2 linked regions of the Coturnix japonica genome follow. The protein of the gene in region 1 binds, or shares a complex with, the protein of each later gene. Links are inferred from orthologs where the notes say so. Each region holds a gene or a part of one and is shown on either strand. Other genes may lie near its edges.

Region 1 (6,488 bases):
GGGGATTTTAAAACGACCTCCTCTGGCTCTATCCCTCCAGATCCAGCAACTTCTGTCGGGTTTCCAGAACAATCTCCTCCATCACCTCTGGTTTGAGAATGTCCTTGATCTGGAATGGGAAGACAGGTCACATTGGCACCAAAGAGCAGCTACTAGCATTGCACCTGAAGATAACTTTGGGCTAATATCTCTTATAAAGACCATAAGAAATGAAATGCTAAAAAACCTTCACTGAAGGCCATTCTGCACTGACTGGAAGGCTCCCCCAGTTGGAGCTCTTGCTGCGTACCTTTTCTCTGTGATTGTTTAAGTTCGGCCAGGACATCATACACATCCAAGGCAATTTCTGTCATGCATGAGAGCAGAAGTTCGTGCTGTCACTACAAACCTTTTGGGAAGACTAAAGGAAACCCTGCTGCCTAATTTATTGACTTCAGCAGCAGCAGACTCAGCCTTCCCAATCCTTTCCCACGCTGTGGAATAAAGCAAACAGCGCTGGTTTCTGTACCTGATGAGGAAGGGATGCCTCATAGCAATACAGGATGCTAGTGTCGAAGAGCATCAACTTCTGAGTAACCAGAGCTACAATGCAGTTTCGGAGCCGTGAGATCACCTCCCGGTCAGACAGGGGAACTGGCTGAGGAAGGACAGAGGAACAGAGATGAGTATGTAGGGAAATCATGCAAGTCTCCTGGAAAAAAGTAACATTTTGCCACAAATCTAATACCACTTCTTAAATGATTCACATGCCTCCTGGATCTCAACTAGCACAGCACCATTGGTAGAACACGGCTCATCATTTTCCCCGTCCCCTCACCTCTAAGTTGGTTGTGAAGCCCCCTGCTTCTTCATCTTTCTGTTCTGGAGTTGGGTAGATCCAGATGAAACCGTTGTTGCCGAGGATCACAGATGCACCACAGGGCAAGTCATGGAAGTGAGTCTTCTGGCGTTTCACAAGGGAGGGTGAGACCTGAACAAGCACACCCTGACCAAGCTGAAGAGGAGACCATGAGACTCAGCATGAGAGACAACGTGCTGCCAACAGGTAATATCCAGTCACCGACATGCACTCCAGGAACCAGCCAATTTAACATCTTTTCCTGTGAAACGGTGAATATAAAACCTGCTTGCCTCTGGGAGTGCTGGGAGGATTAGCTAATGCCCTGTGCAGCCCTTTGAAGATGAAGAATACTCTCAGTGCTTAGCATAAATGTTAATAATGTCTTGATTGTAACTAGACATCAACCATCCTGCAGAAAAACGAGGAGCGAGAGGCCCAATTCAGCAGAACACTTTCCCTCTTAATCCAGTCTCTGTCCTTCACCCTCTGTGCAAAAAGCACATTTTGCTTTTATCTTTTAAGTGCTAATACCTTTGGTCTAGTAATCCCAACTGCAGCCCCCTTGGCTTATTTCAATGTGCAAAAACAGAGATAAATGCCAACTGCATAAAGCCTAAAATAGAGCCCTGGAGTGAGCAGCAAGCCATGGGGACAATGACCTGCAGAAGAAGAGCGATAAAGTTTGAGATAGAAGATTTTTCTTCCCAGAGCTCAAGTCCCAAGCAACTGGTGGGAGAAATGGATTCATGCAGTAACTGTGGAGAGGGACAGCAGCAGTTCAGAGGGAATGTGTGCAATGAGGAACTCTGCTTTGAGCTCCCATGTAGGAGCTAAAATTCTTCCTAACCTACTGACAAGGGCTATAATATCATACTCTACTGCAGAGCCTTTTATTCCTTAAGGATCTCCCCCCAAACCTCTATCCTGATGCTATCTCGATATAAATACAAAGAAATTCTACTGACATGGATAGAACTGCACTGTATTTAACAAGATCTGACCCTCTAACAGACCACTAAGCACAAGGGTTAGAGACTCATACAATCCAACCAGCACAAAATGAGACTTTTGAACAACATACCTTCCCATATTTCAGACTCCTGGTGTGCAGTGATACAGCCCCATCTGAAAACACAGACTGGACCTCTGCCTGTCAGTGCCTCTTAAGGAAACAGACTTCTTCATGCTGCCCTGTACCAACAGCCACCAACAGAGCTTTCCCTGCCTGCCTGAGGTCTGGCTGTTCCCCCTTCCAATCCCTTTGACTCTTCTGTCCAAGTACAAGCAGTGAAAGGATACACTGATGAGATCCCCTTCCTGCAGATAGTCCCTCATTGCAAGCTCATCTTCTGCTGATCTCCTCCTCTAAAATGGACAATGCAAGAAAAGTTATGGGTCACGTAGAATGAGAAAACATTAATTAACAGCAACACAAAGAGAGGATCATCTCCTTAGGACACTGTGCAAAATGCATGGGAAGTCAAAACCACACGTGTGCTAACTGCAGGAGGGGCTCAGAGCATCCTGCCCTGCAGCACTGTGGTCCTTCTCTGCACAAACTGTGCTCACCAGTTCCCCACCAGGTAAATTCATAGACGACAACAACAGGACTGAATCCAGCCTGGAATTGGTTTCCACTTTCCATCGTTTCTGTTGAACCTGGTGAAGAAAAAACAACGTTAATGTACACTCAGAAAATGAACTAAGTCTCTAATCTAAGTGGGAAGTCATGCAGATGACTGACTCTATAGCAAAGCACTGTGACAGCCATAAGAAATGACCGGCCAGTGCAGCAGAGGCTGTCAGAGAAGGAATCATTTCAGTTGGAAAAGAGCATTAAAAGCCACCTGGTACAACTCCCAGTAATGAACAGGGACACCTGCAGGTCCCTCAGGTGCACAGAGCCCCGTCCAGCTCTGATCCTGAATGTCTGTGGGGGTGAGGCAACCACAACCACCCTGAGTAACTTGTGCCAGCGCCTCATTGCCCTTATTGTAAAAGACATCCTCCTTATATTGAATGTAAATCTCTCCTGTTGAGACTGAAACCATTTCCCCTTGTCCTATCACAACAGACCCTGCTAAGAAGTCAGTCCCCTTCTTCCTTACAGAAAGATACTTTAGATAATGACAGGCTGCTCTCAGCTCTCTCCAGCGCCATCTCCTCTCCATGCTGCACAGCCCCAGCTCTCAGCCTGTCCCCGCAGGGAGCTGTTCCATCCCTCGGATCACTTTTACGGTCATCCTGTGGATGTGCTCCAACAGATCCATGTCCATCCTGCACCGAGGATGCCCCACCAGGACACAGTGCTACAGATGGGGCCTCACACGAGGACATGCCCACCTCCCTGTCCCACAGCTTGCACTGCATGCATCCAACCCTATGGGTCCCAGCCATCCCTATGGGGCTGAGTGCTCCCCTATGGGTCCCAGCCATCCCTATGGGGCTGAGTGCTCCCCTATGGGTCCCAGCCATCCCTATGGGCGCCAGCCATCCCTATGTGGCTGAGTACTCCCCTATGTGTCCCATCCATCCCTATGTGTCCCATCCATCCCCTATAGATCCCATCCATCCCTATAGATCCCATCCATCCCTATGTGTCCCCCCCTTTAGTGTGGGGTCCCTGTTCCCCCTATGGGCGCACTGGACGGCAGCTCATTACAATGGATCCGGATGGGCACTACGGTTGCCACCAACGCCCTCCTGCAGCTCTGCATGGCACAGTGCTCTCTGTGCTCCAGCATCTCACTCTTTCTTTGTCAGACCTCATCACGTTCTCCCGTGTCCTCCCAGCTCCTCACCTCCGTGATCCTCCCGACCACGATGTCTCCGACCTCCCCGTTGTACCTGGCGGTGGGACAGAGCACAGCATTAACACAGCATTAACACAGCATTATTACACACCATTATTACACAGCATTATTACACAGCATTAACACACATTACACAGCATTATTACACAGCATTAACACACATTACACACCATTATTACCCATCCCATTGCACATCCCGTCCCTATATTCACCTGCTCTGTAGCGGTGTCACACACACCAATTTATTCACCCTCTCCACAGCTCCAGCCACCGAGGCGACGAGCTTCTCCTCATCCACATAGGTGCCGTGTCCCCTGCAGACAGAACGGACGCCATTAGAGCCCAAACCGCGGCCTGCCCCGTCCCCTAATGCTCCTCCATCCCCACCTCATGTATCCCGTGTCCGTAGTGATGGTGTCTCCGGGTACAACCAGGTGTTTCTCGCCGCCCCGAGGCCGGCTGGGCCCCACGGCTTTACGGATCACGGGCAGCCGCATGGACACCGCCGCCATCTTGGTTGAAGGCGGAACTGCGCCTTGCGGTTACACGTGACTTCCGGACGCCATCTTGAATGAGGGCCGTAACGAGAGTCACGTGGGTTGGGTACAGGGCGGCCATTTTGGTTCCTGGCAGGGAGGTTGGGGGGGGGCAGCGATGTGAATGGGGCAGGGGGTGCTCCCCTATGGGTCTCATCCATCCCTATGGGGCTGAGTGCTCCCCTATGGGTCCCAGCCATCCCTATGGGGCTGAGTGCTCCCCTATGGGTCCCATCCATCCCTATGGGGCTGAGTGCCCCCCTATGGGTCCCAGCCTTCCCTATGGCGCTGAGTGCCCCCCTATGGGTCCCATACATCCCTATGGGTCCCATCCATCCCTATGGGTCCCATCCATCCCTATGGGGCTGAGTGCTCCCTATGGGTCCCAGCACCCATTAATGGGGTTGGACCCACAGCCCCCCCCTCCCCCCAATTTAAACCACGCTCGGTCCCGAATCGCTTTTTATTTCGAGTACAAGAGAGAGGTACAAATGTATTTACAGCGCTGTGCGTATACAATCCCATAATATAGAATATCAAAGGCTTGTAAATAATGTTTTACATAAATATTTACAAAGTTAAAGTGACGGGTTATTATATATTTTCCTTCTTGGGTTTTTCTTTTTTTCCCTTTTCTGGCAGTAAAACGCAGTGTTTTTATTTTTATGAGAGCTTTTATACACCTCGGATTTAGGATGAACACAACAACCTTCCAAGTTAATGGGAACAGCCGCTCCGGGCTGTGCGGTCCCCAGAGGGCAGCAGAGCTGAGCGCTCCCTTAGGGCTGGATGGGGCTGAGCAGCTGCTGGGCCGTCATTGCATGGTCCAAGTTGGAAGGGACCCCCCTCAAACCCCTCCTAAAGGCCGCCTGGTCCAACTCCCTACACACACAGTGCTCAGAGCCCCGGGCAGCCTGACCTCGGGGGTCTCACAGCCCATCTCAGCCTCCCATCCCTTGGTGGCATGTAGACAAACCCCATGGCACAGCTGGGGATAGAGGGAGGAAAACCCAACTCGGCTGAACAGACAAAGCTGATGGTCCCAGTGATGCTGTGCCACGTCTCCTTGCTGGGCGCTCGCTGGCACAGAGGAGAAAGGACAAAAGCAATTTTCCTTCCTATCAAATGATCCATAAAACCCAACCTTGATTCATCCAGGTGCAGCCGCAGCTCCGAACACACCAGCAAAATCCACACGGGATGTCCTGCCGTGCCCTCCCATTCTCCCTTTCCCACCAAACCCTATGGAAACGCTGATGCTCCCAATGCAAACTCAGAGCAGCGGCTCTGCCACGGGCTCCCAGTTCCTCACACATCTCAATGCCAGTCTTTGCACGTGGGCAGCGACCATCCAGAAACGTGCTGCTGCCGTTCCATGGCTCACAGCACCATGGTGGGGATGTGATGGGCCAAGGAAGCGGGATGGGGCACGGGTAGGGCAGGCGAATGAGCCTGCAGGGATGCATTGGGGGGTCGATGACGGGCGCTTTTCTGATGCGCCCGTAACCCGGCCAGCTGGGAATAGGCACTTTGACACACCTGGCACTTATAGGGCCGCTCTCCGGTGTGCAAACGGACGTGGTTACGCAGGGTGGAGGATTGGCTGAAGCGCCGGTTGCAGAAGCGACACACGAAGGGCTTGTCCAAGGTGTGGATGCGCATGTGGGAGCGCAGGTTGCTGCGGGAGTTGAAGCCGCGGTGGCAGATGACGCAGCGCATGCGACCCGTGGTGCTGGCCCCGGTCTCCACTGCATGGAAGTCCTCTGCGAGCAATACAAGGGGATGGACGGTCAGGTTGTGCCCTGCTCACACCCCTTTCTGTGCCATATATAACCACCCCATGCTGCACACTGCACCCACAGCAATGTTGTGACCAGCAGCTCTCAGTGGGGATCTGTGGCTGTAACAAACCTGCTCCAGTCCCAGCTTCTCCCCCAGCCCCATTGGGATCTGCTTTGGGGCTCACTCAGAGCATGCAGCACTAAGGAAAGGGGGAATTGAATGGGACAGGACACAGCTCAGAGCACAGCGTTCCCAATAAGGCTCAGGAGCTGCACTGCCTGCACATGGCACAGCTGGGATAGACAGAGCCAAAGCCTCCTGCACTGGCTATTCAGAGAAATAAGGTTAAATGCGGAGCAGGGAAATGGATGAGTGCATCCCAGCACCTCACGGTGTATTGGGGCTCCTTCCTCCCCACCTGGCAGCTCCACACTTGCTCAGGCAGTGGACCATGGGGTCCCAAATTGCTGGGGATCTGCCCAAGCTGCAGGCTCTGTTCTGTGGGAGGTGGGCTCT
Region 2 (5,661 bases), on another chromosome or scaffold:
TGGTGGTGTTCCTGCAGGATCGTCGCTATGCTGATCTGACTGAGGACCAGCTGCCCACGTGTGAGAGCCTGAAGGACACCATCGCCCGGGCCCTGCCCTTCTGGAATGAGGAAATTGTCCCGCAGATCAAAGAGGGCAAGAGAGTCCTTATCGCAGCCCATGGCAACAGCCTGCGGGGGATTGTCAAGCACTTGGAAGGTACGGCAGCTCTGCGTGCTGCTCAGGATCCCCCACTGACCTTGCTCTATACATGCAGAGCTCTCCCTTGCCCTCCCTTTGAGTATCCGTTCTCTGTTTGCAGGCATGTCCGAAGAGGCCATCATGGAGCTGAACCTGCCCACTGGAATCCCAATTGTGTACGAATTAGACAAGAACCTGAAGCCTGTCAAGCCCATGCAGTTCCTAGGAGATGCGGAGACGGTGCGCAAGGCCATGGAGGCTGTTGCTGCTCAGGGCAAAGTCAAGAAATGAGGCCAGGTGCGCAGAGTTAGCAAGTAGATGAGTCCCCTCCGTCCCCATCCCTCTGTGCACACCCCACAGATGTAGAAACTTGGAGCTGCTCCCCAGGGTTAGGCCCCTTCCCTTTGCACCAGGCTCACCTCTGCAGGCAGCCTGGGAGCTGGGGGGTAAGGGGCTGTGTGCACAGGGGTCTGGTGTGAAAGGGAGTACTCGCTCTGCCAGGCAGCAACTGCAGCCCTATGTTGTTTTGTTCCCAGCCCTTGGGGGGATGCTCTCAAGCAATCTTTTGCCATGCCTGGCTTCTCTTGCTTCCCTGGCAGCTCTTGTCACTGCTACTGTAGTTTTGTTGCTTGGTTTAGCTCTTTCAGAAGCACAACAGGAGCAGTGGGACACAGGCAGGAAGGGGCAGTGATCAAGATGGGTGCCCAGGTCCCCTCGTGGCTGTGTGGTTTTTACTAGGACACTTAGACACCAGATGTGTTGTACTGTGGTGCACGCTCCTGTGTGTAGTACAGCACCCAGTAGTAGTACCTGCAAACCCCAACCCAGCTCCACTGCTTTAACTTATTGCTTTTGGACAAGGGAAGGAGCGTGTTGTCTGGGATCTGTATTTGCCATGTGCTTCCTCCAGCCAAAGCCAACTTTAGTCCTGCATCATGGAGGTGGTTAGATGCCATTGTGTACCCATCCCACAAACGTCTACTTGGCACTGTCACTGTAGCCTCCCCCACTGCTGCTGTAGTGAGTCTGGGCTTGCACTGGGTCAATCTAACTGTCCAGCGGTAGCAGTTGTCTTGTTCCAGTTCAATAAAAGATGAATATGCAATAATTAAATGTCAGCGTTTCCTTGTGCCACTGCGCCACGTGGAGCTCCCACTTTGCCTAGCACCGCATTTCCTGCACCACCACGTGTCTGTGATGCGCAAGTTGCTGCTGACTTGTGGGTGCAGAAGGTGCTCAGACTGCACAGCAAAGCACAGTTCTGCAATCCTCGCTGCAAAGAGTGATTCACTGCAGTGCTTTATGGGCTCTGGGCTGTGCCACACCTCTGCCTAACAAAGGGCATGTATGGCCTGAGGTGATAAGCCATCCTGGGGATGAGCACAGCAGCCATAGATGGTGCTATGTACCACTAAGCCTCAAAGCCTCGCTGCTCCCCAGGACAGGAACAGACTTTCTCACTCCCACACTGATGGGAGAAACAGCCCCCTCCAGCAGCTCCAGAGCAGAAGGGCTACAGGCAGCCAGAGCAACCCCTGCGGGCAGTGACTGAGCAGAACACAGAGCTCTCAAAAAAACCACGTTTATTTATTACTTACAGCACAAATACAAAACCCATCCTGCTGTATGGAAGATGCTGGACCCCACCATAGCAGCTCTCTTTCCTGGGGTCCCTGTACCCCTGAGGAGGCTGCTATGTCTGCAGGAACTGAGGCTGCACACGGGCCACCTTACGGAAGTCCTTGGTGTGCGTCTGTGGGCACTGCATCTCACACCAGCTGATAGGCACCATCTGCACCCCTGCAGGCATCCTCAGTTAGCAGATCCCTTCCTGCTTTGTCACACTGCCCAGCCCCAGCAGCCCAAAGCCTCCTCGTGCAGCCCCTGAGGCTCAGCAGTGGGAGGAAAGGAGGGTGTTTGCTCCCCATGCTGCACTGGCTGTTCCTCACATGGAGATGAGGATTCCTACCTGCGTCGCTGCGTGCCACCACCACACCCAGCTCGTTCTCTGCCGTGCTCAGCAGGTAGTTGGACTGTGCATCCCCCAGCGAGATCTGGTTAGGTTTGTGTTAAGGGAAAGACTCCCTGCCTCTATAGCCCAGCACAAACCCTCCAGGCCCGTGGGCCCTCCCACTGCGATGGGAAAGGATACGACTTTGGCCAGGACTATGTCACCGGGGCGGAAACTCTTGTAGACTTCTACCTACGTGGGAGGGAGTGGACAGGAGTGCATGGAGAGCGCAGGTACTGCTCGATAGGCACCCCATGGGCAGCAGCACGAGGGGAGCTGGACAGGGGGAAGCTGTAACAGCACTGTACCCAGCAGTGCCCCGCTGACCTTATCCTTTTCAGTAGCTCGAATGTCTTCCCTCCTAGAAAAGCAGACACAGGAATGTGATACCAGAGAGAGCCAGGAGGAGCTGCCCCGGCCTCCCTGGACGGCAGCCAGGCCTCGCTAGATGCATCCACGCAGCTGTCCTCGCAGCAGGCAGGCACCGCGCAGTGTGCCCCCTGCCCTTTCCCTACCGTATGGTGCCACGGAAGGTGGATTTCAGCGGCGTGGAGCCAACGTACAGGATGTTCACTTTGGCAAACCGGGAGTTGATGCTGCACACCTGCACCAACGGGCGGCGGGCACTCAGCGCCCGCGCAGCGTGGGCCGGGCCGGGCCGGGCGGCTCCTTGAGTGTCCGCCGCCGTCCGTCCGGAGCTCCGTGAGCCGAGCACACGGCCCCGGCCGCGGGGACACGTGGGGACAGCGGCACCCACCTTACACGTCACCACGGAGCCCACGTCGGGCAGCAGCTGCGCCTCTGCATCCCGCACCACCGACACCACGGGCAGCTGCGGGGCACAGACAGATGGATAGACACACAGACACACACACAGACACACACACACACACATAGACACACACACACACCCGGTCTCAGCCCGGTCCCGCCCCGTTTCCCGTTCCCCGCCGTGCTCTCACCGCCCCGTCCCGCTCGCAGCGCCGCACGCATCCGCTCAGCGCAGCGAAGATGTTGCCGTTCCGCACGTAGGTGCCGCTCCCCGCCGCGTTTCCGTCCGCTCCGCACAGCCGTTCTCCTGCGGGTCGCTCGCTCAGCACCGGTCCCGCACTTACCGGCCCGTCCCCCCCCGCCGCCCGCCCCGCACTTACCGGGCACGCAGTACCGAGCTGGTGGCGCCATGTTCAGCGTCGCGCGTGAGCCCGCAAAGAACCCTCCTCCTATTGGCTCTCAGCGACGGGGCCGCGATGTAAGCGGCATACCTATTGGTTCTCTTTTAACCTCAGGGAGCGGCGGTGTCGCGCGGCCCGCTGGGAGTCGTAGTGCGGCGCCTCGTGCCGGCCCTGCCCGCTGTGCTCAGTGCGCAGGCGCGGGGCGGCGGGCGCTGCCCGGTGCCGTGAGGGCGGCGGGAACCGGGCATGGCGGCGGGCGGCGGGGAGCGGGCGGCAGGTGCGAGCGGGAACGGGAACGGGAACGGGATGGGTGCGGCGGGGCGGGGAGCGGGGCACGGAGCGGGGCGGGCCCGCGGCCTTGGGGCGGCGTGACCGGCTGGCACGGCCGAGGGCAGCCCTGAGCCCAGCACGGGGTCACCGGGAGCGGGAGCTCATCACCCGCCGTGCGGCCGTGCCGGTACCGCTGTGTCCCGGTCCCGCCGTGTGCCGGTTGTGCCGGTTGTGCCGGTCCCGCCGTGTGCCGGCCGCTCGCTCTGTGTTCCCGGGCCGTGTGTTGGCGCTGGGCCGTGCCGCTGCCTGGCGCGGTGCCGAGCGGAGCGCTCGGTTCGTGCCTTGGCCGCATCCCGGGCCGGCCGTGCCGTTAATATTGATGGCCCGGGGGCCCTGACCCGGCGGATCGTTTGCCTCATTTCGGGCCCGGCTCGGGTTCCTCCTCGCTCCCATCGCGGCCCTCGGGTGGGATAAGAGGCTCAGCGGGAGGACGAGGGCTCGGTGCGTCCCTCTGCTGTCCGAGTGCCCGCAGCTCGGCCTGGCACAGCGCAGCGTGGCACTGTCCGGGGAGCTGCTGGGGTCGGTGTGCGATGGGCTCTGCAGCTTGGTCCGGGGCTGAGGCAAAAGGAAGAGCCGTCCAGGTGCTGCTGGGTGTGAGGAACAGGGCACGTGTTTTGTGCGGGCTCCCTCACTCCCGAATCCATTAGCAAAGGCTGCTGAGGGGATCCCCGTGGGTTTGGAGCGTTCCCTGCCCTGGAATGAGCTCTTCGCCCCATGTGCCCTCACCGTCTCCAGTTTCCTCTGAGTCAGACTCTCCGTGTCGCTCCCCAACCCCCTCCCCTGTGGGAAAGACGAGATGGGAGCAGGGAGCACCCGAGGTCAGGCGCGGAGCCTGACAGCCCCGTGTCCCCCCTCCGCACACAGAGCTCGGGAGCGCAGCATCCCTTTGGGCTCAGCGCCACCCGCTTCTGCTCCGCATCCTGCGCAGGGTGAAGGAGCCCTGCCCCGCCGTGCAGCCTGACACCTGGCCTGCCCACACCCAGCATCTGCCCACATCCAGCATCTGCCCACATCCAGCATCTGCCCACACCCAGCATCTGCCCACACCCAGCATCTGCCCACACCCAGCATCTGCCCACATCCAGCCCCTTCCCCGCAGGTTCGGAGCAGCAGGGATGAGGAGCCGGCAGCGGATGTTTGCGGCGGTGATGCGCCTGCTCCTCAAGTGCCTGCGGCTGGGCCGGCGGCGGCGCTTTAAGCTGGTTCGGCAGGCAGGGCAGCTGTGGCACTATGGGCACCTCTGCCTCCGCTCCCTGCTCTACAATTCCTTCACCAACGGCGACGTGGTGCTCGACTCCCTCTTTGAGCCCATCTACTGGCTGGTGGACCACGTCACCCGCTGGTTTGGTGTGGTGAGTACCTCCATTGCGAGGGGGGTTTGGGGCGGTTCATGCTGCTGGGGACACCGAGTCCTAGGGAGGGAGCGAAGACGCCAGCATGGGGCAGGTTCTGCACACTCCACTGACCCAAGCCCCTTTCCTTTAGGTGTTTGTGGCACTGGTGATAGGCTTGACAAGCTCCATTGTGGCCATCGTATACATCTGCCTGCTGCCCCTCATCCTGCAGACATACACACCTGCGTGGATCTGCTGGCATCTTGCTTACGGACACTGGAACCTCATCATGATAGTCTTCCACTATTACAAGGCCATCACCACTTCTCCTGGGTACCCACCGCAGGTGAGGCTGAGCCTGGGCACCAATGAGCAGCACAGCCTCTTGCAGCTGGGCACTAGGTACAGCTGATCACTGTTGGTATCATTGCAGGAGGCCTCCTCCAGATGGGGGCTAGGAGGGGAGACAGGCTTGGGGGAGTGTGGTGAACACATGGGGAGCAGGGGACGGTGTGGGGGCTTGGGAGCACATGCTCTTTTCTGATGTATGTACAGGCCAAGAACGACCTCACTGGCGTCTCCATCTGCAGGAAATGCATTGCCCCCAAGCCGGCTCGCACCCACCACTGCAGCA

The links. Proteins that work in one complex are often made in the same cells at the same time.
Region 2: EXOSC2 (region 1) and EXOSC1 share a complex: the UniProt entries of both Homo sapiens proteins name them as parts of the RNA exosome core complex. The link is inferred for Coturnix japonica from reciprocal best matches to the Homo sapiens genes EXOSC2 and EXOSC1.

The regions. Positions count from the first base shown.
Region 1 is NC_029532.1:4,557,215-4,563,702, reverse strand, and holds the start of EXOSC2 (exosome complex component RRP4), read right to left. Parts: upstream 4,206-6,488; 5' UTR 4,167-4,205; coding exon 4,042-4,166; intron 3,969-4,041; coding exon 3,867-3,968; intron 3,689-3,866; coding exon 3,643-3,688; intron 2,501-3,642; coding exon 2,411-2,500; intron 2,207-2,410; coding exon 2,141-2,206; intron 1,992-2,140; coding exon 1,923-1,991; intron 995-1,922; coding exon 818-994; intron 638-817; coding exon 509-637; intron 110-508; coding exon 29-109; 3' UTR 1-28. Other genes in the region: PRDM12 (PR domain zinc finger protein 12), read right to left, coding at 5,571-5,953. UniProt on the Homo sapiens protein: Non-catalytic component of the RNA exosome complex which has 3'->5' exoribonuclease activity and participates in a multitude of cellular RNA processing and degradation events.
Region 2 is NC_029521.1:19,501,403-19,507,063, reverse strand, and holds EXOSC1 (exosome complex component CSL4), read right to left. Parts: upstream 3,374-5,661; coding exon 3,343-3,373; intron 3,270-3,342; coding exon 3,154-3,269; intron 3,024-3,153; coding exon 2,949-3,023; intron 2,796-2,948; coding exon 2,707-2,795; intron 2,553-2,706; coding exon 2,519-2,552; intron 2,384-2,518; coding exon 2,333-2,383; intron 2,235-2,332; coding exon 2,150-2,234; intron 1,981-2,149; coding exon 1,874-1,980; 3' UTR 1,747-1,873; downstream 1-1,746. Other genes in the region: PGAM1 (phosphoglycerate mutase 1), read left to right, coding at 18-198, 302-471; palmitoyltransferase ZDHHC16, read left to right, coding at 3,372-3,640, 4,793-5,045, 5,179-5,433, 5,580-5,661. UniProt on the Homo sapiens protein: Non-catalytic component of the RNA exosome complex which has 3'->5' exoribonuclease activity and participates in a multitude of cellular RNA processing and degradation events.